7 linked regions of the Nothobranchius furzeri genome follow. The protein of the gene in region 4 interacts with the protein of the main gene of each other region in a pairwise test. Links are inferred from orthologs where the notes say so. Each region holds a gene or a part of one and is shown on either strand. Other genes may lie near its edges. The genes, in order: dazap2, pom121, fbxl18, RNA-binding protein with multiple splicing, per1b, sf1 and ammecr1.

The links.
Region 1: the proteins of RNA-binding protein with multiple splicing (region 4) and dazap2 interact in binary tests that used the Homo sapiens proteins (3 or more experiments, as listed by UniProt). The two-hybrid records come from large-scale screens. The link is inferred for Nothobranchius furzeri from reciprocal best matches to the Homo sapiens genes RBPMS and DAZAP2.
Region 2: the proteins of RNA-binding protein with multiple splicing (region 4) and pom121 interact in binary tests that used the Homo sapiens proteins (3 or more experiments, as listed by UniProt). The two-hybrid records come from large-scale screens. The link is inferred for Nothobranchius furzeri from reciprocal best matches to the Homo sapiens genes RBPMS and POM121.
Region 3: the proteins of RNA-binding protein with multiple splicing (region 4) and fbxl18 interact in a two-hybrid assay, tested with the Homo sapiens proteins (2 studies listed by BioGRID). The two-hybrid records come from large-scale screens. The link is inferred for Nothobranchius furzeri from reciprocal best matches to the Homo sapiens genes RBPMS and FBXL18.
Region 5: the proteins of RNA-binding protein with multiple splicing (region 4) and per1b interact in a two-hybrid assay, tested with the Homo sapiens proteins (2 studies listed by BioGRID). The link is inferred for Nothobranchius furzeri from reciprocal best matches to the Homo sapiens genes RBPMS and PER1.
Region 6: the proteins of RNA-binding protein with multiple splicing (region 4) and sf1 interact in a two-hybrid assay, tested with the Homo sapiens proteins (3 studies listed by BioGRID and IntAct). The link is inferred for Nothobranchius furzeri from reciprocal best matches to the Homo sapiens genes RBPMS and SF1.
Region 7: the proteins of RNA-binding protein with multiple splicing (region 4) and ammecr1 interact in binary tests that used the Homo sapiens proteins (3 or more experiments, as listed by UniProt). The two-hybrid records come from large-scale screens. The link is inferred for Nothobranchius furzeri from reciprocal best matches to the Homo sapiens genes RBPMS and AMMECR1.

What each region holds. Positions count from the first base shown.
Region 1 is NC_091755.1:37,294,029-37,297,957, forward strand, and holds the start of dazap2 (DAZ-associated protein 2), read right to left. Parts: upstream 2,801-3,929; 5' UTR 2,650-2,800; coding exon 2,637-2,649; intron 727-2,636; coding exon 608-726; intron 514-607; coding exon 265-513; intron 183-264; coding exon 54-182; 3' UTR 1-53. UniProt on the Homo sapiens protein: In unstressed cells, promotes SIAH1-mediated polyubiquitination and degradation of the serine/threonine-protein kinase HIPK2, probably by acting as a loading factor that potentiates complex formation between HIPK2 and ubiquitin ligase SIAH1.
Region 2 is NC_091750.1:52,615,023-52,619,125, forward strand, and holds the start of pom121 (nuclear envelope pore membrane protein POM 121), read right to left. Parts: upstream 2,801-4,103; 5' UTR 2,668-2,800; coding exon 2,102-2,667; intron 1,622-2,101; coding exon 1,415-1,621; intron 1,258-1,414; coding exon 1,108-1,257; intron 1,015-1,107; coding exon 934-1,014; intron 849-933; coding exon 677-848; intron 595-676; coding exon 506-594; intron 427-505; coding exon 347-426; intron 249-346; coding exon 127-248; intron 54-126; coding exon 1-53. Other genes in the region: polyubiquitin-C, read right to left, coding at 4,081-4,103. UniProt on the Homo sapiens protein: Essential component of the nuclear pore complex (NPC). The repeat-containing domain may be involved in anchoring components of the pore complex to the pore membrane. When overexpressed in cells induces the formation of cytoplasmic annulate lamellae (AL).
Region 3 is NC_091744.1:14,834,120-14,838,409, reverse strand, and holds the start of fbxl18 (F-box/LRR-repeat protein 18), read right to left. Parts: upstream 2,801-4,290; 5' UTR 2,657-2,800; coding exon 2,636-2,656; intron 2,190-2,635; coding exon 1,995-2,189; intron 1,914-1,994; coding exon 1,564-1,913; intron 1,364-1,563; coding exon 1,228-1,363; intron 1,144-1,227; coding exon 65-1,143; intron 1-64. UniProt on the Homo sapiens protein: Substrate-recognition component of the SCF (SKP1-CUL1-F-box protein)-type E3 ubiquitin ligase complex.
Region 4 is NC_091742.1:66,831,331-66,834,830, reverse strand, and holds part of RNA-binding protein with multiple splicing, read right to left. Parts: intron 1,913-3,500; coding exon 1,785-1,912; intron 1-1,784.
Region 5 is NC_091742.1:55,047,132-55,050,631, reverse strand, and holds part of per1b (period circadian protein homolog 1b), read left to right. Parts: intron 1-271; coding exon 272-350; intron 351-509; coding exon 510-616; intron 617-749; coding exon 750-903; intron 904-993; coding exon 994-1,261; intron 1,262-1,352; coding exon 1,353-1,461; intron 1,462-1,549; coding exon 1,550-1,709; intron 1,710-1,984; coding exon 1,985-2,103; intron 2,104-2,276; coding exon 2,277-2,423; intron 2,424-3,500. UniProt on the Homo sapiens protein: Transcriptional repressor which forms a core component of the circadian clock.
Region 6 is NC_091743.1:88,306,302-88,310,255, forward strand, and holds the start of sf1 (splicing factor 1), read right to left. Parts: upstream 2,801-3,954; 5' UTR 2,616-2,800; coding exon 2,357-2,615; intron 1-2,356. UniProt on the Homo sapiens protein: Necessary for the ATP-dependent first step of spliceosome assembly. Binds to the intron branch point sequence (BPS) 5'-UACUAAC-3' of the pre-mRNA. May act as transcription repressor.
Region 7 is NC_091750.1:52,185,808-52,190,009, reverse strand, and holds the start of ammecr1 (nuclear protein AMMECR1), read left to right. Parts: upstream 1-1,402; 5' UTR 1,403-1,546; coding exon 1,547-2,019; intron 2,020-4,202.

The sequences.
Region 1 (3,929 bases), on a different chromosome or scaffold from region 4:
CATCTGGGACGGGGGTACGGTTTAGGCATAAACAAGGAGGGGAGTAGCTGCTGTTACCAGATGGTATAACCTCCACTGGATCCGCCCAGGAAGAAGTTGTTCTTGCGCTGTGTCATGACAACATTGGCACCCTGCATGGCAGCCAGCTGAGCTGCATTAGGGGGGTGTCCAGGGGGTGGGGGCTAGAGAAGAGGAGAAACGAGCTCAGTGGCAGGTTAAGAGTTACAAAGGCCTTGGCTACAGGTTAAGTCACTCCGTACTCACTGGGATGGAAACACTGCTGCCAGCTGTGAAACGAGCTCCAGCATCAAAGCCACCGTCCACCATCACTGTTGAACCAGGGGGGTAAACAGCTCCCATGTGATAGTAAGCCATGGGAACGTTCTGGCCCACCGGACCAACGGGCATGTGTGGCTGCATGGGCATGTACACCTGAGCACCAGGGTAGGGAGAGGACATCTGAGGCACCTGACCAGGCACCTGAGGTGGAAGCACGTATCTGGGCTGGTATATCTGCATACAAAGACACGAGAAACAGATTTAATTGAAGAATACTAAAAAAAAAAAAAAAGCTAATCTAGGCTTGACCTGTAGATGCAAGCGTTACCTCAGAATATGCAGGTGGTGTGTCTGAGTATGGAGGTGCCTGAGGAGACATTTGCATAGCAGGAGGGTATACAGGTGCAGAGCTCTGCTGAGGGTACACAGCCTGCTGTGGGTATGAGCCTGCAAAACAACATTTCACTTTTAAACACGCACAGCTGAAGAATTATGGGATGAGAACCGTTTCATTATTACTAGGGATGTAAGAAAATATCGATATGGCAATATATCGTGATATTTTTCGCAGCAATATTATATCGATATTCAAAAGCTGTGTATCAGAAATATCGATATGGCAATATATCGCGATATTTTTCCAGCAATATTATATCGATATTCAAAAGCCGCATATAGGAAATATCGATATGGCAATATATCGTGATATTTTTCCCTGTGATTATTACATTGATATTCAAAAGCCGTGTATCTAATTCTTGAAAGAATGCAAACATGCAAACATTTGTGTATTTTCTTTTCGTTTTGTGCAATTCAATCGCCACCCGCTAGTTGGCAGCAGTGTGCAACGGGTTTTGTTTCCACCATTGAACTGTAAATCCCTCCATCATGGTTCAGATACCTCATGTTAAACATGTTACATATCAGTTTTGACTGTTTATTGAACATGCTTATAATAAATTCAGTAAAAAATAGCTTGTAACGTCTGACTGAATGTATCGCAATATATCAGGATACATCGTATCGTCTCCCCTGTATCGTGATATGTATCGTATCGCCAGAATTACAAAAATACACATCCCTGATTATTACTAATGACTTTGACTACTAACATTAAGCTGCAAGTACTTCTTCTCAATCATCATCATCATCATAAATAAACTGATGCTGCTTCTGAGTGGAGATGGGAGGGAGCTGATTACATTTACAGCTAAATACATGAAATTATTACTGATGTGAACGCAACTACTGAGTGGTACACGTTACAGAAAATCCCAATGTCTTGTATACTGAAGCTAACGTTGGTCTTTTTCGGGTACAACTTTGAACGTTTCTACATTTTACAGACAAAAGAACAAAAACCAGATTTTGACACAAAGTGTCTTTAGGTCCAACATTTGGCGGCAGTAAAAGAAAGAACAATGTTTAAATATTGATGGAAACATGTTATTTAATATCATCAGGGGGGATTTATTTAAGCAACTGAAACTGTTGTGCATAATTATAACAAACTATGTGATGACTGTAGCAAGTCTGTCACTGCCAAGAGAGTTTCTAGTTTTGTTTTGAGTGCATTGTATGGCAAACAATACCAGGAAACTAGACATAATCACTTTTCTCAGCCCAGACAGTATAAGCAAAGGGTAAAAATGTATTACTTGTAAAAACACAAGTGAACGGATTAGAAATTAATAAAATGTAAATGGAAGATTTTATTATAAAGCCGAATCTGATTAACACAACGCACAAAAGCCTGGTGGTTAGTAAACAAATGTGAATTTTACATTTTCTTTGTCTTTCCAACATGACAAATCGACCATCGCGCATTACAGTTTGAATAAAATGTCTGCTTCTATTTTAGCTTTAGTGAAACAATTAATTCAGTAAGAAAAATATCATGAAATGTCATTAGCATTAGCCACGAACAAAGATGTCATGCTACAAAAAGACAATCTAAGCTCAAATAAGACAAACAAAAGAAGAAATAAACAACCTGGTGCATTTTTGCGCCGAACAGGTCTAAAAACATAAATGTAACCGGGATGTTCTTTGTTAACAAGAACTCCCCCCCTCCCCAACAAAAACAGGAAAGCCATGTCAGATTTGCTTTTATAATCACGTTAGCTTGCTGGAACACATCTGACCGGCCCGTTTTGGTCAAATAACAAAATGTGAAACTAAATTCGGACATCCGACGTTAGCAATATCCAAGACAGCTTGGTTCGGAGTGTGCGTCAGTTTATTGTTATGTACGTAGCTTCAGTTGGCCACAACGCGAGCTCCTCGTCTTTCCTTACAACGCCAACGTCAAGTAACGAGTAGCTAGCTGGAAAATGAAACACACGACGGAGAAATACCTTTGTTATTCATTGTTGTGGACTGATTCGGAGGCTGAGGAACATCAGATTAAACGGCGCTTTGTGTATCTTGTCTCGGCCTTATAATAGCTTACGGCTTGACACTTCCTTGTTTCTCAGCTTCTTGTTGTTGTGGAAGTGGTTACGTCACCCGTTCTTTATCTGCGGTCGGACGCACGCTCAGTTTCACCTGCACGCGCGCGCCCCCTTCTGGAGGAAATGAGATTTGTTTTTAAAGGAATATGAAAAGCACAAAAAACCCTAAATATTAGCTAAACGTAAAATGAAATTAATACTTAAGTGCGTACTACAATCAGTGTTGGGCAAGTTACTTCAATACTGTAATGCATTATCTATTACTTGTTACCCTCATTTTAAAGTAATTCATTACATTACAATATTACTGATTTTAAAATGTAAGGCATTAAACTACTTTTGAACTACTTTAAGTTACTTTCAACAATACAACTTCAATATGAATCTGGTAATCTGACGCTCAGTGAGCTCATGACATATATGTGGAAAGTGATGTGGTGTCTGAGCAAGCCCCCACAATGCAAGAGCAAGTCTATGGAAACCCATTGTCCATATATGTATGTCGATGTGTCTGAGCTAGCTAGGGTTGCTGTTAAAAACAGTCAGATATAATAACAGTGCTTTAAAATTATTGTTTATTAAATAAAAGCAACAACAATCTGTACTCTCAGCACGCTGCCATCTTATATTAACTGAGCATGGTGGGGGCTCCAAGCCTATATTTGCCTTGGTCCCCAAATGCCTTGATATGGCCCTGGATGTGGGACTGACTTCTGGGGTGATCTGATTCTATCACATGTATAAATATTAAATGCTTATATATTATTGCTTTTCACTGGTAAAAATGTGTATTGGGGATAAATCTACCTACTTTTTTCTTTTGAAGCACTTTGTTTTGTTTTCTTGATTTTATTTGAATAATTTCCTGCCCTTTTTCTCTCTAACCTTCCTGCATGCTGCATGTTTTCTCCGTCTTCCAGAAAAACTGTTCCCTAAATTTCTTACTTTCTAACTAATCAGCCAAAGGGATCTACCAAACCCACAAAAAAATAAAATAAACATTTTTTTAAAAAAAGCTTAATATTCGTTGCGCTCCAGCAGCAATAAGTTGAAATCACCGGGGCACAGATTATGAAGTCAGCTGAAAAGTACATGAAGTACCAGAGAATATGGACTGATATAAACGATCGCACACGAATTACTTTGTTTTGGTCAGAGGCGTGTCCAGGGAGTGGCCTGGGGTAGCACATGCCACCC
Region 2 (4,103 bases), on a different chromosome or scaffold from region 4:
TCTTCGTCTAGATCTTTGGCTGTGATGGTGTAGCCCAGCTCAGGAGGTGGAGGCTGCACATGAACAACCACAATAATGCAATCTGGATGCAAATAAACAAATGTGAGGGAGATCAGCGCTCCTCACCAGAGAGATGCGATCATCTCGGTGGCTGGACACCAGCTGGATCTTCCGTTTTCTCTTCCCACCACTTCCAGTCGAGTCTGCAGAGGTTGTGACTGGGGATTTGATCACCGGAGTTTGTTTTACTGCAATATTATGAAACAACATCATATTTGTTTGTGACCATACTTTGAACATGAATCATCTAAATTGGAAAAGTCATCTACAGATAAATGGGAATTACTGGTATCAAGGGTCTTGTCTGATGCAGTGTGGTCCGACTTCACTGAGGATGCAGAGCTTGGAGACTGAGTGTCATCCTCTCTGTTGATTAGAAAACATAAAAAAAGCTTTAATTTGTAGTTAAATGTGGTTTAATGATGACAAACATGCAGAAACAGACCTGGGTCTTTTGGCAAATCCCTCTGGAGTCTGAGAGCGAGACGATTCAGGGCTCGATAGAGGAGAGCTGGGTGCAGATGGTTTCTTCCACTGTAAAGAAAAACAAAAAATGCTTCGATTTGCTTTTGCTATGCAAAAACCCCCTTTACTAGACTCCGGTAGATGAAGATACCTGACTAAAACCTATCGAAGAGCTGTAGGAGCTTTGGATTGCATTTCTTCTGGTACCCGAAGTTCCTCTCGGGGCATGAACTCCAGAACTAGAGCTGATGGAGGAGGTGCGAGACCTCTTCATGGTGGTCTCGTCTAAGGATGCGGTCATCCCTCTTTTTAGGCTCCCTGGTCTGGAGAACATTAATAAAAACAACATTTAAAGCTTTGTCCAACATCTAAGATTATGATTCAGCTTTACATACAATTCTTACTCACTTAGGGACCAGCTGGGATGGTGCTCCATTAGGCAACAGAGGCTCAAAAGCAGAGTGCGAACTTCCACCGCTGTCATTGCGCCTAAGAAAAGCCATAAAAAGAAACCATAAGACAGCTGCTATTGTCCAGACTGAGCAGACAGTACCTCAAGAATCTATTAAACAAATTTTCTACCTTCTTTTGCTTCTTTGCTCAGCGGTGAAGCTCCTGTCCTCATCCTCTACTTCCCTCTTGCGGCTTTCCTTCAACACCTTGAGGACGCTCTCTCTGGAGCAGGGGTCTGCCGGGACCCTGGTGAGCCCTGCACAACTCAGATGATTCACACTAAAAACCAGAGCAGAGGACAGTCAGCACTGATTCGGCTGAAAGTAGCAAGACCTCAAGCAACAAATCAAGGGCTATCCAAATAGTAAATTAAAAGACAAAAAATTAAAAATTAAAAATAAACGGTCGTGCCCAAAAACATTTAACCTGCAGAGACCTGGGAATGTTGTGGTCGGGCCTGGCGATCTTTACAGTGACGGGACTGAGAGCAGCAGGGGAATTTCGAGGACTCAGGATGTTCTTTTTTCTGAAACCATCCCACTTGACAGGAGGCAGGACTCCTACTGAGGAGACTCCAGGCTGCTGAAGGGGGTAGCGACGCTGGGGGGTGATGGTGAACCTGTTAGCTGCACCCAGAGGCTCCCTGCAGAGGAGATTGTAATGGAAGGAACAACTTCAGCAGGTTAAAACGTACAGATGTTATGGAATAGAAATAAAACAATATAAAACAATCACTTTACATGTGAAACATGCAGCTGCATAGAAAAAGAAACTATGCTGCTCATCCTAACCAAAAAGTAAAGATATGCACTTTAACGAAAAGTTAGTAAAATGCTCTGTTAGTTTTTAGACAACACAAGCGTGTAGACACAACAAGCCATCAAAACAAAAGATTTATCACAGTAACTTAGCTAAAAGCATGAGTAAAAGAAGCCAATGAAACAAAGTTATTGGATGTTTTTAAAACGATTCCAAGTTAAAGAGTTCTGGTTAGAGCTTTATACGTTTCAAACATGTGGGTTTTGTGTGCTAACAAGCTAGCTAACGCTATAAACATTTCTTTTTCATGCAACACGTGAATTTAAACAGATGGATCAGAGCTTAATAAACCTAATTAACTCACCCAGAGAACGAAAGCCTCCTGTTCGGGGTATAAACTGCATGGTTGGGTCTGGACAGTTGTTCTCGCAGTTGCTCCCGGGGATTTCTCCCGGCTTTTGGCCTCCCAGAGACGGCCGCTGGACTTTCGGCTTTCCCGATGTAACTCCCCATGAGAAAATCCCGAGGGCTGAAAAGAATCGAGTCACTTGCTAAGGCTTCTCCTCGACAGAGCCCGGTTTTACTGAGCTTCGGGAGTCCCTCTGTCTCCCGGTGATGGTGCTCGGATCGGTTGCGGTTCTTCGTTCTACTCCGCGCGGCCACCGAGACGCCGGTCGCTGTCCAACCCGACGACCAGCGCCGCAGCACGCCCGAAACGTTTAATCCAACCCGAGGATTCGGGCCTAACCTGGCGGGAAACGATTCTCCGCTGTGATAATAAAAAGCAAAACAACAAGCTGCAAAAATTAAAGTAGCGTACAGAAAAGTGGGGATGTAGTAAAAAGCGAAGGTGATTAATCCTAAAACAGAGAGAAGCGCTAACTGTTTCTCCCTAGGTGACATGGCGGTAGCGCGCCGCCTCTCTCGCATTCAACATGCTGCTGCTCTATCCAACTGCTCGCGCGGCAGCGCTCCCTACCGAGCACAGGAGCGAACTACACCATCAATCCACACGTCACCGTGCACACTCGCCTATGCACGCAAGCACACACTCACAGCAGACTTACCGCTCAGGGAAATAGCAGACTCAGATTCTGCAGCATTCTGGAGGGTTTCCTGTTAACCGCGATCATTAGATGAAAAAGGAGAGGAGGGCGTTTTTTTCAAGGAGGCATGGGGCAAGCGGCTCCGAGCGCCAACTTGTCACATCGGCAGGTGAGTGGTTGAGCCAGGTGGAGGTGCGGCTACCTCAGCTGGAGACCAGTGCACTGCAGCCACGTGGTGATTTGCTGACAATGTCACGTTTTTCAGCTTAGCCATCAGCTGTGGCTGATTCTAAATAAATGTGGAGCAGTTTTTAACCTGAAGATGGAGATATAAAGTTTTGGGCCGAAATTAAATTTAAAGTTGCACCAAATTGCCACACTGATTACACATCTACAGACAAAAAAGTTAATTTAGATGTTACTCTTAAAAGTAAAAGACTCATGCGGAGTTAAAAGCCATAAAAAAGGGGTTTCAAAAGAGATTTAAAACAAGACAGCGATGATGCCAACCTAATATTTAAAGGCAGCACATTCCAGACTACACTAAAAGCCCCCACCTCAGAGGCTAGGTCTCATTCTTGGGACTTCCAGGAGCATCCATCTCATCAGCTGACCTTAGACCCACAGGAGTAGAACAGCAGCAGCTCAAAAGTAATGTTGAGTAAGGCCCTAAGGCCATGCATAGATTTTAAAGTACCTTATACTGGATACTAAAGCAAGCAGGTAGCAGTGCATTGATGCCAAGACAAGGGTAATGCTCCATCTTTATCCCAGTATTGTAACCTTCGCTTTAAATTAAACGTTAGGTTTCACAAACATGTTTTGATGACTCTTCCCTGCTTGTGAAACAATTTCAAAGATAGATAAGTCTGAATTATTTGCTGTAACCACAAATACATATACTTCCTTCTGAAAGCTCAGATCTGCCCTCAAAATATGCTAACATTAAGTTTTACATGCATTTGATATTTATGAGCTGTTAGTGTGGAGATCTAGTGGGATTTGGAATTAAGTTTGAGATTTAATTTTGAAGGCAATTGTGGCAGATTTTTTTTTGTTAACACCGTTTACATGTTGCCATCTAAAATTGGTCTATTCTGCAACTTTTAGAAGTCTGTTTAATTGGCTTCAGGGGAAACTGCTGAACAATTTTTGTAAAACATTTCAAATGAAAGCAAAAGCAAATTTAACCTTTTATTGTGATAACGGAACATTTTTGGTCACAAGTTAAAAACAAATGTAACTTTTAATTTCCAAGCATTACATGGCAAATGAAACCAACTGTGGAACCATGACTTTACTGCCCACCCCTCAGACGCA
Region 3 (4,290 bases), on a different chromosome or scaffold from region 4:
TTAAAAATAGAAAATAAACCACTTTTTTTTAAAAGGGAAAAGAACACTATAGGAATATTCTGACCTGAGTTCCTGCAGCTGTGTGCACTGTTTCAGTGTCTCCAGCAGAGCAGGGGAGTAATTCATAGTTTTCAAAGATCCCAGGTTGGCTAAAGACAAAACTCTTAAGTCTGTGCACCGTCTGGCCAGTTGTACCAGTCCTGTTCCTCTGAGAACTCCAGGAAGTCCAGCCAGAGACAAACGGCGCAACTGAGGCAAAGCTTCAAGTGCCGCCAAGTGTGCGTCTCCAACTTCCCTGGCCCAGGCGCACATACCACGAGGCTCCACGCTGGCACGAGTGCAGGGCTCGAGTCGAGGCAGCGCTGAGACAAACCCTGGCCCAATAACCTCTAAGGTTTCTAAAAAAGGGCAGCCAGCTACTAGCGAAGACAGCCCTGAAGTGCTGTCTCCTGAGAGAGAGGATTCTGAGTCAGGTCTGTAGTTCTGGAGCCCCACTCGAGGAGCTTTCTTCAGTCCCTGAAACAGCGCGGAGGTAGCTGAGCTGCAAGACGAGATGTGATTTGTGTTCACACCGTCAGACAGAGCGCATGCAGGCAGGGTGAGAGAGCGCAGCTGTTTGAATCGACCCAAACTGGTACACAGGTGTGTTTCTCCATCCAGCGCAAGTGTGTGTTCATGATGGTAGTGTGTGTGCATCAGATTCAGGTGCTTAATGTTGGAACAGACTTCAGCCAGCTGACTCAGGGTCACAGTAACCAGCTGATCTTCTACGCTCCTGCACTCGGAGTAAAGAACGTGGTTGATGCCGCTGAGGTTGAGGCTGATGAGCTCCGTGGCATCTCGGACTCCTCCGTTCAGAAGCGACTGGAACACCTGCGGCCACAGAGCGGGGCAACGGCTAAAGCTCAGGTGCTTGGGGCTGTTCCCCTCCAAGGCTCGCTTTAGAGAAAAAGAATCCAACCAGGATCGAGGGAGCTGCAGAGCCACCAGGTCTCCTCTTTGACCCAAACTTTGAGCCAGCGAGGAAGCAGCCGGCCAGTGAACCGGGTTTGGACCGGGAATCGACACGAGGAAAACTCTGAGATTCTTTGGAATGTGAACACTGAACACCGCCAGGTAAAGAAGGAGCAGCGTCTGGTTCACCTGCAGCCAACGAGACACGGAAACATCCCGTACAGTGTTACAGACAGGACTGGGTCTTGTTTAAATGATTACTAACACACTCACCTCTCCTGGAGCCAGTCTGGCTGTGAACTCCTCCAGCTGTTCGTAATGCGGTACACTGCTCTGACCAACCATTAACTGACAGCTAACACCCACACCCTCTCTGGTCACATCTGGGATGTCAAACTGCAGCATTAGCCTATCACACACACATACACACACACACACACCAGAGAACCAAATCTTTATATCTGTAACCCGGAAGCTTAAAACAGAAACTCACAAATAAGTAAATCCCATTCCAGTTGCTTGACAGTCATGGTAGCTAGGGTGAAGAGATATTTAAGGATGATGGCTTAAAAACAGCTAAATATAAGCATCTGTCTTGCAAGTCCTTACTTGCGAAGTTTTGCACAGCATGGCACAACACCATAGCTTGGTGTTAAGAGCGTCTGTTTGAGCTCCGTCAAGCGGCTCAGCGAGTCCACCGCTTTTGAACTGAGCAAAGCAGAGTTAAAGCACGGTCTCACATCAAACGCCAGGGATCTGAGAGAGGACAGAGAGGAGAGGAGGTGCGACAGACAGAGATAACTGATGCGACAGCCCGTCACATCGAGGTGTGTTACTGCTCTGCAGCGTGCCAAATGCTCCAGTGTGGAACCAGACAGCCAGTAGCAACCGTTCAGGCTGAGAGACAGCACGCTGTTGCCAAGCTTCTTCAGGATGTGTCGAACTAACCGATCATCAGCCTTAAAGAAAATGAAAAGTTAATGAGACAATCATGAAAAATTCCTCATCAGCACCAATCAAAAGAAATCAAACAGCTTTACCAGATATTCTTCAGACAACGTGACGTTTGAGAGCAGGGTTTTGTCGTGGCAGAGTGTGTAAAACTTCCGGCAGACAATTGCAACATTCGTCAGGCGGTCACACACTGGAACGTGATGAAGGATACACAGTAGGATCTCATCAGACAAGTTGGACATCCCAACAGACAGAGACGCTGTCTCTGAGTCCAAAACAGCCTGAGAACGACAGAAAGATGTCAGGCATGTGATTTGGGTGATCTTCGAGCTTTTTAAGACGTTGCCATTCTTCTTAACTTCTGTAACATTTTAGTACATGATTTTAATTAGAAAACAAAAAAGCATTACAATCTAAATGGCAACAAAATGCTGATACAAGTAGCCTGTTCATTTACAAACATGTTTTATTCATTTCATTGAATGTGGCAGCTCTGACACGAACATAAAATAAAATGCTTACAATCATATCTGATTGTTTCATAGTGCTAAGGACTGGGACTATCTTTCTGAGACCATACGCAGGGCAATTAGATGACAGACGGAAGATGTTAGAGTAAAAAAGTTAGCAACAATGTTCGCTTTAGCGATAAAATTTACATCATTTTTTTTATGTTCCGCGGTAACCAAGTAAAATCCGTCGCGTAGAGGTTTGGCGCAACACCTACTTGCAAAATCTGTCCATCCATTTCCTTTGTCGCTCTCTCCAAAGCCTTATCTAAGATTTCTAAACAGGAGACCTTCACCTAACAGGTGTTTCGATAAATAAAAATTTCGCTTTTACGTCTGAACCACAGGTTGCTGACCACGAAACACCTAGACGGAAGGATTTTACCGCTGCACTGCACATGACGGAAGTCACGGAACGATTACCCCTACGGACTTACTTCCTGTTAATCCAGGAAAAAAAATAAAAATAAAAAAACATCTGTGTTGTAGACACAGCAGGTTTTCACAAATGAACGCACAAACAGTGAAACAAAGATTTGTTTTACCTGGTCACGAATCCGTATATTTTTATTAACCTTTGCGTTTTAAGTCATCTCAAATCAAATCAAAGATACTTTATTAATCCCAGAGGGAAATTAGAGTTTCAGTACACACAATTCTGAGATCAGACATACATGGGCAAGACACATGACAAGAATTGGTGATTGTGGTCATTCGCAACCCTGAGTCACACTACCTTAATAGAGATAAGAGGGTTACATGAGTACTGGTTCAGGTGGAGGGAAAAAAAGGCACTTCAAAGTTAAGGTTGGTTTATGCTTGACGCATTCACTTTCCACTTGGTGATGCGGCTCGCGGATGGAACGCGCTTCACAACTCGCAGCGTTTATGGTTCGTGCGGCTCGTCTCTGCGGTGAGCCAATATTCTCTCAAACTGAACGGGGCTGCATGGAGCTCTACAGCATGCATCCAACACTACACCATAGTAGAAGTAAAAATTACTGTTGTTTACAACATGGCATTCCAGCAGTTTTAAACAGCGTTCTCGTCTTTTCCAACAGTGCGAGCTTCTCTCCAAGAAATATTAACAACATGTTGATCACGGTGATCTCTGAGAGCTGAATCATACAAATGTCTGTAGTTACGAACCTCTGCCTTACTAGATCTTGCCGGTCCGCCATGTTTTTCCACATCCGACCGTCCGGGTGGTTAGAAATTTTCCTAGGTGTGCAGTGCGGAATTTTGGGCCGTGCGGAGGCGCGGTGGAGGGGCGTGGTTGTTAAAATGACGCAATTTCGCCGCACGGACCTCGCGGACCAAGCTTTACCCTCTACCGGGAAGGCAGCATTGCGCTGCAAAAAAAAAAACACCTCAGACAGAGATATGCAACAGACTTCAGACAACACAACATAAGTGTTCACTAGGTGGGGTGGTGGGTATGGACTATCCCAACTTCAGTTCCTGCAGCCACGATGAAGCAGCGCATGGGGGTGGGGGGGTGGGTGGGGGGGCATTAAGGGTTGGAGGGTTGCAGTGACCCTGGATGCTTCAGCGGCCTTCCTGCTGTCCCGCCCAGGCTGGGAAAGGAGGTAGAGTTGAGTTGCCATAGCGACGATACATTCCACGTATCTTCTGAGGGGGGGGGGGGGGGGGGGGTTTGTTGGAGCCTCACAGGCTCAAGGACGCCAGATTCCAATTAGAAATTGTTTTGGGGCCAGACAGAGATAACTTCTTCTCTATCTTACAGTTTGTTGGTCCTCAACCTCTCAGAATCCCAATAATGGATGTTAATCTATCCCAATCCGTGCTGATTCGTCCACTCTCTCCTTGATGGCATCCATCTTTTGTGCCAAAGAATGAATCTCCGTCAAAG
Region 4 (3,500 bases):
AGAAGACCGGCAGGGCAGAGTCTCAGCTCAGATCAGGACAGAACCGGAAATTCTCCACAGTTCACCGTCCTTGTAGAGCAGCTGAGTACACCTCGTGGAGTTTTGTTATTATGAGGAACCAGAAAATGATGGAATGAGGCATCAGAGAGTTATAAAATCTTTCCAGCGGGTAAAAAAAAAGCACATTCACCTGCTCTGTGTGATGTTGGGACATTGGATTACAGAATCAAGTAGTTTTTTTTTACTATACCACAGATTATTATGGCCAAAAATCAGCAAACGTGAGACAGAATTTACGCTTTTAACTTCATGAGATTAGCTTAGTTTGTTTTGCTGCTGAGTTCCGGGACTGTTGCAGGTAGAGTGATGGTGCTTATATTGTTGCAAAGAGGAGAAACTGGGCTTTAATTTAAATGGCTGCTTCTGAGGACAGGATCATGTCTTATTGTTGCTACTGTGTGTTTTTCTCAATATGTGTATTTAGCTACTTTTCAGCCTTCCTTTTTATTGTCATTGCTGAGGTAGAAAACATGGAATCTATCATAAGAATGGTAAACTGGCATCCCCTAGTGGTGATATGTGGATATCGCATCTAACAGATGGCATTTCTGTGCCACACCCAAAATAAAATTCAGCCGCCACTGCTGATTATGTTCAATTGGAATGTTTGCTTTGCAAAGTGCCTTGATGGCGCTATATAAATTACTGAATTGAATCTGTAGCTGTGTTTCTAGATTATGAGGTGTGAATAAGTAACTATTAGATTTAGTTGGATTACTATTTTATTTTATGAATTGAATTAAAAAAACATTTACAACAAGTTAGTTTTTTAGAATTGGGTTTACATTACGTTTTAAAAGTACTGTTTAATTTCTTCTAAAAATCTTAAAATTGTTCCTTGTTAGGGCTCTAAAAGGCTTTTTTATCTCAAGGGGCAGTCATTTTTTCAAATACATGAAGTCAACGCGGAAGTGACAAATATTGCAGTTCAACCCTCATCTGGTAGGTGCTGGAACAAAAACAGAGAAATCCTCATTGACTCCCATGTTAAAAATGCCAACTTCACAGCAGAAATAAACATGTTTACCGCCTGGTTCATAAACCCATTTTAGGTTTAATAGATCCAGTTTACACTCATGGGTGAATTTTTTTGTCACTCTTCCATTTTAGGTGTAATTAAACGCTTGAAATTATAAATAATTACATTTGATTGACAGGTAGCGTGAGCATCAGAGCTAGCGCATAGCACTGTTTGCTCAAAGATGGGTTGAACTATAACGTGTTGTTGAGGCTGGCTGGGTAACGAAACATGAGCAAGGTAAGTTGACCGAGGCTAGCTAGCGGAGGCTTCCGCGCTTCGCTGGTTACACCATGGTCAAAGATCTGCTAGGTCGCCGCTGCAGAAGAGGTTTGCTGAGTTTCAGTAACATGCCCATCCCTTTAAAAGTGACGGACCGACAATCAGAGATCTGATAATCTGTTGTTCCATCCTCCCGGAGACAGCCCAACAGGGAGGGTACCCGGCTTCTCCGATATCCTGGCTGTTCCTTTCTCCTGAGGGAGCTAAGCCGTGCTGCCACCTGGCTTTCTGGCATCCTCTACTGATCGCAGAAAAACAGCAAGGGAAGTGACACCTACAACATAACGTAGGCGAAAATAAAAACAAAGCTTTGCTACTCTGTGTAGATAAGAACCAAAAATAATGGAGCGGGATCAGAGGGCTGACTGGGTGGTGGTGAAGGAGCAGCGACGGCTGGTAATGGGGAACAGGTGGTGTTGGTTACCTGAGCGTGGAGCGAGGAGGGGTAGGTGAAAGCGGGTGGAAGGGCTGGCGACAGCTCTGCCGGGTACAGCGGGTATGACGCCCACACATCTGGGCTGCTGGGATATAGAGCAGGCACTGTGAGCTCATCTGTGGAAAGAAGAGGAGTGGAGTGAGGAGAGTGGCAAGTGAATGGGTGGGTGGATAGAGAGGCAGGGTGGAGGTGGCAGTGATGGTGGTGATTGTGGAGGTGCGCACTGGGAGGGACTATTAAGTATCTGAAGTTGAATCCTCTTATCGTGATTCTTTAAACCAAAGCCCAAAAATGTCTGATCAGCTGACAGCAAGCCTGTAAAGATTCCTGCTCATGTTTCCCTCATTGTCTTTTTACGATAAAAGCATTAAAGTCATGATAAAGATGAGTAAAAACATTTAGCTGAAGAAGCTAAAACATCCTGCCTTTCCCAATAGAGTACTGCTCTGAAGCCCAAACCAGTTTCCTGTAAGCCCATGTCCCCACACACACCAGTAGTGCAGGGAGAGCTACCCTCCAGTAAACCCAGTTAGGAAAAGCTGTGTGACCTTGTATTTTCCAGAGATAAATATCAAAGAAAAATAAACTATTTTTTGTAATTATTGTTAACAAAATATAAAGAAGTAGGAATGTTTAGTATATTGTTATGATATCCATGCATAATGTGTGTATGATACAATAAGATAAGCTATTTAATATCACCAAAACATAAATATGTTGCTATGTTTTGACTATCTTAAATTTGTTGTAAAATGTATGCCCTGAATTTAACCGCTGGTCTACTTTAGAGTCTGTAGCTCATAGGATGAATAAAAGACCTTACAATAATTATTGTTAGAAATGTGCTTAAAGTGTTCATTTTAATCTTTTGCTTTCCAAAATTAAGCTAGGTGCTGTGACCGGTGCGTTTGCACCTCCAGTTACACCCAGCTGAGATGGTTGTCATGGTTACATAGCAGTATTGCAACTTACCTAGATGGGGATACTGATCAATAACTTGTTAGACCATTAAAATATTTTTAAACTAGAGTTAGCTAATGATGCTAGCAATAACTTGGTGGCTTGCAACTGCTGTGGTTGGATAGCCTAGCGCTCTAGACAAACTGTAGCGACAACAAAAACGTTTGCTCTGCAGGTTGGTTTGGCCACGCTCCATTGTAGCTTCAGCAAGCCTACCATTGGCTTGGTGTAGTGTAGATTCGGCCAATCACAACACTCTACAGCTTAGATGACCACTGCCCAGCAACGGTGCTCATTTGAAATGGCTTTGGCATCAACTTTGTATGATTTAGACTTGGGTTCCTTTTTGAGACATGAGCAGAAATATATTTCTTCTTCTTCTACGGTGTATGGCGGACGGCCTCGTTGTCTGATTTATGCTGCTATGAATCCATCATGTTGTTTGTTGCTCTGATTGGTCCTAGCGCTGTCCAATTGCATGCAGACAGTTTGAAAGAAAACAGTAGTTTCTGCCCCATGACTGAGCTGCATATGGGTCATGGCCATACTATACATTTACAAATATAGTACAGCTTGCCAAGCTAGTATTTGGATGGCTATTGAGTCAAATTAAAAGCTTACTTCAGTCTGACTTGTAATTTCCCAAATTTCTTCAATCTTTGTTGGAAAAAACATCTTTGTGACTCTAATTTGCTTACCTTCAACGCATTAACTGAAAGCTTTACAGGCTAGCAGCAGCAGCTA
Region 5 (3,500 bases), about 12 Mb from region 4:
GCAGGCTGCACAACGAGTCTGAGCTGGTCAGAATACAGCGACTAGCTCACAGAGGGAGACTAAACGAGTTGTGTGGACTAAACTCTGGTTTCAGCGCTCAGAGGTCCAACGTGCCCTGATACAGAATGTAACAGGTGGACAAACGGTTGGTCCTTCTGACACAGATCCGGTGTGAAGAACCAGATTCTTCAGCGTTCACATCACAAACGCACCACTTCATTAACTCGGTTTCCCAGAATGCTTTTACACTAGTCTCCTCTGTGTCCATCAGCTCCTCGCATCCCCCCAGACAAGAGGATCTTCACCACAAGTCACACGCCCAGCTGCCTCTTTCAAGAGGTGGACGAGAGGTCAGAGACACCATTTAGCTATTTTTAGATTTTATTGTGATTTTTGAGCATTTAAAGGTTTAATTGTTGAGTCTGAGAAACTGTCGGTCCTTCCCGTTACGTCCGTTTTTACCCAGTGGTGTAAAAGTCACATTTCTGGTTTATTAAACTTGTTTTCAGGGCCGTGCCATTGCTGGGCTACCTGCCCCAGGACCTGGTGGGAACCCCCATCCTACTCTCCATCCACCCGGAGGACAGGCCCATGATGGTGGCCATCCATGAGAAGAGTGAGTTGCAGATTGTCTTTCAACAGAAACAAAAAAACATTCCCAACACGTGTTAAAAGCGAATCCCAGAAGGATTCTTGGCTGTAAAGTTGTTGTTTTTGTACATTTAGTTGTTTCTGTCGTCTGTTTCCAGTCTTTCAGTTTGCAGGGCAGCCGTTCGATTACTCGCCCCTCAGGATGTGCGCTCGCAGCGGGGAGTACCTGACCATTGACACCAGCTGGTCGTCCTTCGTCAACCCCTGGAGCAGAAAGGTGGCGTTTGTCGTGGGACGGCACAAAGTCAGAACGTGAGCCTGTTGTCTGATTTTCTTTTTGCCGTGTTCGCACATTTCCTCTGGTGCGTCGCTAATGTTGCCATCCCCTCACCGGGCCTTCAGGAGTCCTCTGAACGAGGACGTGTTCACCACCCCAATGGGCTTCGAGAACAGGGTGACCACGCCCGACATCGTCCAGCTGAGCGAGCGGATCCACCGGCTCCTGGTGCAGCCGGTGCACAGCGGTGGCTCTCAGGGCTACAGCTCGCTGGGCTCCAGCGGCTCGCGGGGCTCCCGCCAGCAGCACCTCAGCGCCTCCGCCACGTCATCCAGCGATAGCAACAGCCCCGCCGTGGACGACGTCGCCGCCACGGTTGCGTCGCACAAACCCGTGAGTCTGATCCATGTTTGGAATTTTTACACCGTAAATATCACCAAATCCTTCAGGCGTGAAGTTACTTGGGTTTCTCGTTTCCCACCAGATGACGTTCCAGCAGATCTGCAAAGACGTTCACATGGTGAAGACCAACGGGCAGCAGGTTTTCATAGAGTCTCGGAATCGCCCACCTCCTCGAAAGAACGCCTGCGCAGGTGACCTGGAAGGCTTGTCTGGTTAGATGGAAGAAACCTAGATGTTAGGCCCCTCATTTTAAATGTTCCTCTCTGTTCTCCCGTCGAGGTGCAGCCGGGATCGGAGCCATCGGCGACGACCCAATCAGAGGTCTGATAGCAGACATGACTCAGCCTCCCAAAGCCTTGGTTCCTGCTCCGCTTGTGCAGAAGGAACCTTCCACAGGATACTCCTACCAGCAGATCAACTGTCTGGACAGCATCATCAGGTGTGTGTGTGTGTGTGTGTGTGTGTGTGTGTGTGTGTGTGTGTGTGTGTGTGTGTGTGTGTGTGTGTGTGTGTGTGTGTGTGTGTGTGTGTGTGTGTGTGTGTGTGTGTGTGTGTGTGTGTGTGTGCAGATGTTAAAGCAACTCTAAATAAGTTCTCCACTTCTCCCTAGGTTAGATTTCTGGATCAAGAATCACTTAAACCCATTTGAAAGCAGCATCCTGAACTTCCTGGTGCTGGTTTAAGAATTCCACTCACCCTGTCGTCTTATTACAGATACTTGGAGGGCTGTAACATTCCAAACACCATCAAAAGGAAGTGTGGCTCCTCCTCCTGCACCGCCTCCTCCACCTCTGATGACGACAGACAGCCTGATGGCAGCGGCAACAGCAAAGGTACCTTTCATACGAGACTAGCCAGCTATTTTACTAATATTTAACACAAGTAGAAGCGGGAGAACCCAACTCTCTGCTCATTCAGCCCAGATGTGCGAGTCAGACTCATGAGTTTTACATCTGTTCGATGACCCGGTTGCTAACGTGTTTCTGTGACCATGATCTCTCTTCAGGTGGTTCAGTTAACCTCGTAGGTGAACCACCTCCTCTGCCTCCTCTGACCATGGCCTCGAAGGCAGAGAGCGTAGCCTCAGTTACGTCTCAGTGTAGCTTCAGCAGCACCATCGTCCATGTAGGAGACAAGAAGCCTCCAGAGTCAGGTGGGCACCGTCAAGCACCCTCACTCTCCGCAGATCTGTGATGGGAACACGTCAAGATCCCTGGACTTCTCTTTTGTTCTTATCTGATGTTTTTCTACTTGTAGAACTATTTCAGACTCTTTGAAGTTGGTTTTTGAACATTTAGCCTCTTACCCAAGAGAAATGGTGTCATTCTAACCAGATTTACAAGCAAACAGCTGGTCGCTACAAGTTCACACATTTCACAGCAGAACATGCCAGCTCTGTTTAGCAAATGGGTTAAAACTCTTGTAAATTTTTACATAGAATGCTGCTGAAATAGTTGGAAGCAGTGCTGTTTCCTTTTTCTTGACTTTAGTAGTTTCTAAATGATCTTCAGGAAATATAAAATCAAACTGTAGCAAATGAGGATTTGTTTTTCATCTTAGATTATTAGCTCATACTTTCTACTCTTCATATTTAAGTATTTTTTTCCCTTTAAATGTAGTTTTACAGTGAAAGTGACCTTATTTATATACATTCACATGTGGTTGATTTACAGTCAAAACCTTAAATTTCTCTAAGAAGTAGAAAAATGCAAGTTTTTAAAACGTTAAGAATATTTTCAAACATTCAGAGTAAAAAATTTTAAGTTGAACAAGTTAAAAACATTTTTAAAAAAGGAAATGGCTTAAAAAGTAACGCATTACAAAACGTTTTCCAAAGGAAAAGCTAAAGGTTAGCATTTTTTTGAGAAAATTAAAAAAGTTAGTTCGAAAAGTGAATAAGTAAGAAAAAGTTTTTAAAAGTTTTTTTTAAAGGCAACATTGAAAAATATTAGTTTTCAAGTGGAAAAAAGCTACATTTCATCAAATGAAAAAAAGGTTAAGTCAGTGATTTAAAAGTTAACAAGCCTTAAACATTTTGGGGAAAAAAATGAAATGTCTTAAAAGTAACACATTACAAAAATGTTTTGAAAAAAAAAACGAAGTTTAGCAAATTTTGGCGAAAATTTTTTAAACAAATATTTGAAAGCGAACAAGTAAAAAATTTCTAATTTTTTAGAGGAAAAAAAAAGCAGATTAACAAGGAACATTAAAAAAACAGGACAGCTTAAAA
Region 6 (3,954 bases), on a different chromosome or scaffold from region 4:
AGGGTTGTCACGGTGTGAAAATTTAACCTCACGGTTATTGTGACCAAAATTACCACGGTTTTCGGTATTATCACGGAAGTTTTTTTAAACGTGTTACATTTTCACACAATTAAATAAACCCTGTATGTCAGGAAATATTGTCCTCAGTTTGTGTCTAAATTTTGCCTAAAATGTGTTATTTTGTAATTATGTTGTTTATTTGTTTATATTTTTCCCTTTAGTCTTTAAAATACCAATATTTGCCCATAACTTCTTATTTTGTCTGTTTGATGTCATCATTTAAAAATATTAGACCAGATGATACTCAGTACTCAAGTAGCCTTCTAATCAGATACTTTTTTACCCTTACTTGAGTAATAAACCCTATATCAGGAAAATATCGTCCTCGGTTTGTGTCCTTCCAGTGAGCTTTGCAGATGTGGGAAAATGTCATCAGGCAGTAATCATTGTTAAATTCATAATTATTCTCAGAGAGAGACCAACTCTTATCCGCCCCTGGGAGCCCCGTAATGCATAGCGTCATTTCAACATGGGGGGTGTCCGCGACACGGTTTATATGCAGGTAGCGGCGCTGCAGCTGCTTTATATAGCGACTCGTTGCGTTCTCCCTCAACCCAAATCCTCGGATCACGCATTTTAGCTAAAACGCTAACGTTAGCTTGCCTTGCGTTGACTGTAGAGTTGTGGGTGATGGTCACGCAGATGTGTCATGAGATTTGAAGCGTTGCTGCCTTTCACAGACACTTTTTCTGCACGTGCTGCAAACAGGATAGCAGTCTTCTATCAACTGTCCCTCGGCATTCTTCAGATATCGAAAACATGCCCGTACTTCCCACTTTGTCTTCTTTGAGGGATAATAAATGTCCTCCTGAGCGCTGCCGTCTCCTCCTTTGGCCATTATTTCAGCTTTAGCTTCAAGGCTATTAAAAGGCTGTTTTACTATCTAACGCTGTAAAACGCCTCACAACGCATTTTTATCAAAATAAATGATCACTGTATATTGTTAATTCAAATAATATAATATTGATTTAGTGTTGTAGTGTGTGTGCTGCTTTATTTTATATGTGTACTTATTTCAGTCTATTTGTGTTTCTTATGCAGAAAAAAACAAGCAACGATGGACAACTACATGGGGAACAAGACACTCACCCCCCCCCAGCAATGCATACCACTTACAAACTCTATTCTAGATTCTACATAATTTTTCATGGAATTTACCGCTTATATTTTGATGCCAAAAAATTATTCAGGACTGATATTTTTCACTGTTTAGCTTATTTTACACCGCTGACTGTGTTCATGTGCAATAAAATCGATTGCAGTCAACTGCATAATTCTCCTATGTTTTTCTTTTTCTTAACTGAAATGTATTCATCACTTGTATAGGTTAAATAGCTAAACAATAACAAACCGATTAATCGATAAAAATTATCGACAGATTAATCAATTATGAAAAATAATCGTTAGTTGCAGCCCTAATAGTATCGTTTACCAGATTAGATTTTGCTGAATCACATAGTTGAGTGAGTAAACAGATACATTTACACAAAATTAATTGCACAACCGCCCGTTTCAACGCGACAGAAGATCTCTTCAGTAATAACATTGCCTGAAGAAACCGCAGATTAGGGAAGGGGGACCATACGTCCTCTTTTGCCCCTGAGAAAGATCTGCTCCACAGCATAGAAGATGAAGACAATAAACAGGATGAAAAAAACTATGGACTTTTGATGTTAATTGTTTTTTTCAAATGACTACTGCTTTTTATTATTAAGTGGAGAAGAAACAATAGAAAATGCATTTAGTAAAATATTTCTGGAGTTTGCTCATACATCCTGTAGAACTATTGTTTGGTTACAAGTACATTTTCTTATGGATTACGCTTTATCGTTATTTATTGCAAGAGGTTTATGAGAAATTTAGTATACTTGTTCACTTGTGAAAGCCTGTCTGACGTCTGACATTTATTTCACCACACAGAGAAGGCGTGCCTTATCTTAAAAGTTTTCTTATCGTTATATTAAAGTTTGTCATGATCTAGCCATGTGTCCTCTTTTTGGGAAATCAAAATATGGTCATCCTAGATTAGGGGGGAAAGATGAGAAACACCGACAAGTAAAACAAAACCCTGCATTACGTTAACGCGCTACTTTTGACTTGGTTGTTAAAACATGCAAGATATTGTCAACTTAAACGATAGAAGCAAATGTATTGTTGTGTTCACGTTTTTATGGCTGTTTTGTCGCTACCCGCAGGAATGGGGACTCCATTTCGCGTCGAGAGTTCCATGCAGGCCCACAACCTGACGCTAACGCGTGTTGAGCTAGCGCCGTTAGCGGATGTTTGACTAACTTACCCGCAGACATTCCGGATCCTACAACTGACTGCTGTTGAACCAGGGTCGAATAACCTGCCCCTGGGTTGAACTGATGTGGTTGAGGAAATGGTGTGGTTGGCATGGAAGGTTGGTAACCCTGCAGAGACGGAAACGATCCGGGCGGTCCAGGAGTCGGCATCAGCCCGTTGCCCGCACCAGGCCCGGCGTCAAAGCCTCGCTTAGCACCGATGCTAGGGTGAAGCTTACCAAGGGGGGTTGCGTTTGCTCCAGTCGCCATTTTCAATAAACTGAAATGGCTTTTGCCACGCGAACGTTATATCAACGAGTTTTTATTTAAATGTAATTAATCTGTCAGAGAAAAGTCACCGCAGCTTGTTTTCTGAAACTTCTCCCAAAATGGCGCCCAACAGAAACGACAAAGGTTGAGCATTGAGGCTTCTGATGTCACGTTCAAGTAACATGTCTTCCTATTGGCTCAAGTGCTAAATCACCTTCCGAAATGGATCAAATGGATTGGTCCAACTGGCTTCCAGTTCGTTGTATTTTAACCAATCTATAATCAGGAAACGGCTTTACCCTCCCCCTGTGTGAAATCAGCAATGCTGAAATCGAGAACAATCTACGAACACTTTCCTCTACTTCAAGACAAGGACAAAGAACTATGCTACAACTTAGTCCTCTGTCTTGTGTTCATACATAAACAAAGAATACATAATGTATCCCCTAACTTTAACGTGTTCATATCCGACTTAGGTATCTATAATCCCTTCAATTTATTAAAGATAATTACTGAGTTTATATATGAAGTACTGTGTAATCTTCCTAGCAATGTACAATAACCCCTAGGTTAACAAATCTCAATGTTATATTTTTCTTTGTTTCGTGTTATTTTGTTTACCTGCTCTGATGTCAATTGAACTGAATTACGTTTGCCTTTGTTGTTCTGTACATGAAATGACAAAAAAAAAAAGTTCCTCTTGACAATCTACAGGTGCTGGCCAGTAAATTAGAATATCATCAAAAGGTTGAAAATATTTCAGTAATTCCATTCAAAACGTGAAACTTGTACATTATATTCATGCAATGCACACAGACCAATGTATTTCCAATGTTCATTACATTTAAATTTGATATTCATAAGTGACAACTAATGAAAACTCCAAATTTGGTATCTCAAAAAATTAGAATATTCTGAAAAGGCTGAATATAGAAGACACCTGCTGCCACTCTAATCAGCTGATTTACTCAAAACACCTGCAAAGGCCTTTAAAAGGTCCCTCAGTCTTGTTTTGAAGGCACCACAATCATGGGGAAGACTTCTGACTTAACAGCTGTCCAAAAGACAATCATTGACACCTTGCACAAGGAGGGCAAGACACAAAAGGTGATTGCTAAAGAAGCTGGCTGTTCGCAGAGCTCTGTGTCCAAGCACATTAACAGACAGGCGAAGGGACGGAAAAAATGTGGTAGAAAAAAGTGTACAAGCTCTAGGGATAACCGCACCCTGCAGAGAATTGTGACGACAAACCCATTCAAAAATGTGGGGGAGATCCACAAAGAGTGGACTGCAGCTGGAGTCAGCGCTTCAAGAACCACCACGAGGAGACTCATGAAAG
Region 7 (4,202 bases), on a different chromosome or scaffold from region 4:
AACAGAAGAGGAGGACTTAGACCATCTATTTTTTTTGTGCAATTTTATACAAATATTTTGGTTAGATTTTCATGCCTGGCTTTGTTCTAGTGGGATTCAAATTTCCCCATTTACCTTAAATATGATAATGTTTGGAGTGTTTTTGAAAGAAAAGAAAGTTAGTTATGGTGTTAATGTGTTATTAATTTTGTGTAAACAGTTTATACATAAATGTCGATTTTTTAAGACCAAACCAACACTAGCCTATTGGAAAAATGACTTAAAATTATTAGTTAAATCTTTGAATTTAGTTAAAAAGAAAAAGGCTGGTTTGTTTATTTCCTTTGTAGAAGATTTTGAGTTAGTAAGTTAATAATCTATTAATTAGATGACCCCAGCTTTAGATTTTCGTTTTCTATTGTTTTCTCTTTCATATACATGAAAATGTTGAATATGCATGTAATGATTATCTTTTGAATATATAATGTAAGGTGCATTTTGTTTGTATGTTACCTTTTCTAAAAAAAAAAAAAAAAAAAAAAAAAAAAAAAAAAAAAAAGTCTACGGTAGCAACCGGGCGCAGAACATTTCCTGAATCCGGTTCCGGCGTGCCGACAGCACAGATGCCTGTGTCCACTGCCTGATCGTAGGGGCTTTTACCCGACCAGCACAGAACTGTAGCAGCTGACAGGCGGCGGCGGAGGAAGGGTTGCCAGACCCAGCGGATTTCACACGGTCCACGGACTAGAACGCTCTTCTGTCTGTCTACATGAGCGGATGACAGCCTCCCAACAAACCCGTGCTGAAAACTTTCAGCTCTCCGTTTGACGCGGGGGTGGTATTGAGATTTATAACCAGGTTTAAGTGCAGTCATGATGCAGGTGCAGACTGGGCTAACGGTACTGAAATTACTTGTTCGGCGCTGACGCGTTTTTATTGTGCCATGCCAACCCCGCATTGTCAGATGCCATTTTCCTCTGCGTTACCCCGGCGTCTGGGATCTCTACATTCTGGGCCTGTTGTATAATTAGAAGTTTATATGGCAGTAGCAGACAAGCTGGTGCAATGAGAAGCTACGTTGCCCAAGACACTGTGCGCAGATTGTGCTGAAGCTGATGGGTCCTGCATACGCAAGCTCCCGGCTTCCACTTGGAGAGGCACTGGCGTTCGGCTTCACATCTGGACCGCCTGGCTACTGTCATTTGCGGCCTGCTTACACCGGATACTCCCTAAACTTGCATGTTTAAGGGGAACTGACCGAGATCGCTTTGGATGGTGTTAGAGAGAAGGGGTGGCCACTGGAACACCGTCTCTCGACTGTCTGACTACTGAAGGGACAAACGCTTGTCCCGATAGCCTATGTATTTTGCGTGAGTCACGCATTTTCACAGGCAACGATAGGGTGACATTGCATTCTCACCACGTCGATTTTTTCTTCGTCTGACAAAAAATAAATAAATAAAAAACAAAAAGAGGGAAAGTGAAGTATTGTCCGTCGTACGTAGCAACGCAGTGGGATTTCTACGTCTGGTCGGCGTCTCCCCCCACCCTTCCTGCGGTGACGGTTATGGGTCGGAAGCGGTGTGTCGGTGCAGATTGTTCCAAGATGGCGGCCGGGTGCTGCGGGGTGAAGAAGCAGAAACTGTCGGGATCTCCCGGGTCGGGGGGTCCCGGCGGGGTGGGGGTGGGAAGCGGGGTGGCAGGAACCGGACATTGTGGCTCGGAGTTGGGGATTGGCTCCTCCGCGGCTGTTGCAGCTGCGGCAAACGTGAGCCGAGTCAACGGCCTGGGGGGACCCGGGGGTAACGTTAGCGGCGGCAGTAGTGGTAGCAGCAGTGGCACCAACGCTCTGTCACCAGTCCCGGCCGGTTATACTACATCCGGCCTCTCCCCGAACATCAGCCCGGGACCTGGTTCGGGAAGTGGTGGCAGAAAAATGGTTGTCTCCGCGGAGATGTGCTGCTTCTGTTTTGACGTGCTTTATTGCCATCTGTATGGATACCAACCTCCGAGAACACCCAGGTTTACAAATGATCCCTTGTAAGTACTTTTGTCGTTGTCTGCTTTTTTGTGTGGAAAAAATGGCATTGTTATGTCTTAACAAAGGTTGTCTTCACAGAACTTGTTGAGTTTAGCCTTGGAAGTTTTCTTCACGGTTCAGAAAATGAATTGTCACACCGAAACTACAGTCAGTCTTCGCAAATTCTACTCGAAAGGGTTCGCTGAATGTAGCCTATTTTGCCCAATTTGGAACTCGGGCCTAGTCGAGGAAACCGCACTCAGACCGGTGTTTTGTCGAAATAAGCACCCCTACCGCGAAGAGTCATTGTCACAAGAAGCTAATTTTAAGCCACTTTCATTGATCAAAAGTACAAATTTGTGGTTTTCGGAGCAGTCAAGGGCACAAATATTTATTTCGTATGTAAAAACATTTAGGTATTGTTTTCCAGTAAACTATTTTTCCTGATAGCGTTTCCTGTCTGAAAATCACCCTGTGCAGCCTTCATGTCAACATAAATACTTTTTATATAGCTGTAGCTGATGAGGACGATCTTGTACTCTTGTAAACTTTAGATTTTTACATATATTTTTTAAAATATATATATCAACATGAGCTTCCTCTATGAAAACGTGTTGGAACACACAGGGGTACCTTTTCTGACACAACACGTCAGCTTAACCCATACAAAAACGCTCCACTGAATGTTAGATGATCCTGACATAAAACTGTTTTTTGTCAATGAATGTCGATGTATACGGTCAGTTTATGTTCTTTTACGCGTCAGTTTTGGAAATAAATTAATAAATTCATGGTACTGACGTCCTAACTCGCAAAACTGTGGCTAAGGTATAAACCTAGCTAACGGTGTTTGCTACTAGTGTTAGCTAATATCCGCTAGCAACTGAAATTAAAACGAAAAGAGGACGGAAATAATATAACATCGCTTTTATGCAATGCTATAGAACACTGTTCGTATGTAGAATGTATGAGCTAAACAGCAAAAGTTGACTTTCGTTGTTTGTGATCGTAAATCACCCTAAACGAACCATGGATTTCTACATACTAGGCTTAGCTTTGTTAGCTGTAAGCTGTATTAGCCTAGCATCGAACTAGTGTGAATTTTGTTTATTTATAGAGTCGTTCAATGTCTTAATGATATCATGACAACATCAAAGTTCAATTGTATCACTTAATTTTTACTAATTTCACCCAGTGTTGGTGAGTTTTGCCGTGGAATTAATACAAACTAACGGAGTTTATCATCGACCAACAAAGAAAATATGCTAATTGCTAAGTGCTTAGCAGTTCTAAGCTCTGCCTTATCTAACCGGTGTTAAAGAGGGACTAGTGGCACCGGTAGTTAAATAAAGCAAGCACAAAGCCGGCTATGTCTGGCCATTTAATCATCTAAAACTGATATGTTTCTGACACGGTTAAAGTTACCGTCAGATCAATAAACGTATATATTTTGGGAGGAACCGCACACCCATCGCCCTCCACGGAAACCCCACCTTACAGTAATGTGATCGTATGTGCCTGAAAGGTCCATTACTCACATTTAGAAGCTTTTAAACCTTTTTTTTTGCAACCTTGATTGATTGGCTCCTTTTTTAAATTCGAAAGTCTAAATAAAGAAACACGTTTCTAAGAGTAAACTTTTTACAGGAATTAAAGGAGAATACTATTTACATGGAAAGCACTTTCTGTATTATGCAAAACGGGTGATCTTGTGTGTTGTGCAAGTTCACATTCCGCAAGAACTAATTAAAAACCACGTTCACAAGATGAAAATGATAATTTCTTGTCACTTTATCATTAAATACATGCATCTGCAGGAGCATTTTCCTACAGAAGTTATTAGTTTTTTTGTTTTTTATTAAAGGGTGCACGATAGAATGGTTTTGGTGATGAGATTTTTCTTGTTTTAGTTTGATGCCTTTAAATTGTTAATGTTTCCCAAAAATCAAACTTTGTTCCTTTTGAACATTAGCTGCTAAAGTACATCCAGCCTAGTGTTTCTCTTTTCTCTGCTGGTATTTAATACAACTGATTACACAAACGTAAATTGTTTTAATTGGTAAATTCAATTATCTATTCTGGATTTCTTTTGCTCCTAGTTTTTAATGATTTTCTTGCTCAGTTACTGGTTTTCAGCCTCTTCTGTTTCAAAACAAACAAACTAAAAACTTGACCAGACCTGATAAAGTCGGATAAAAAGAAA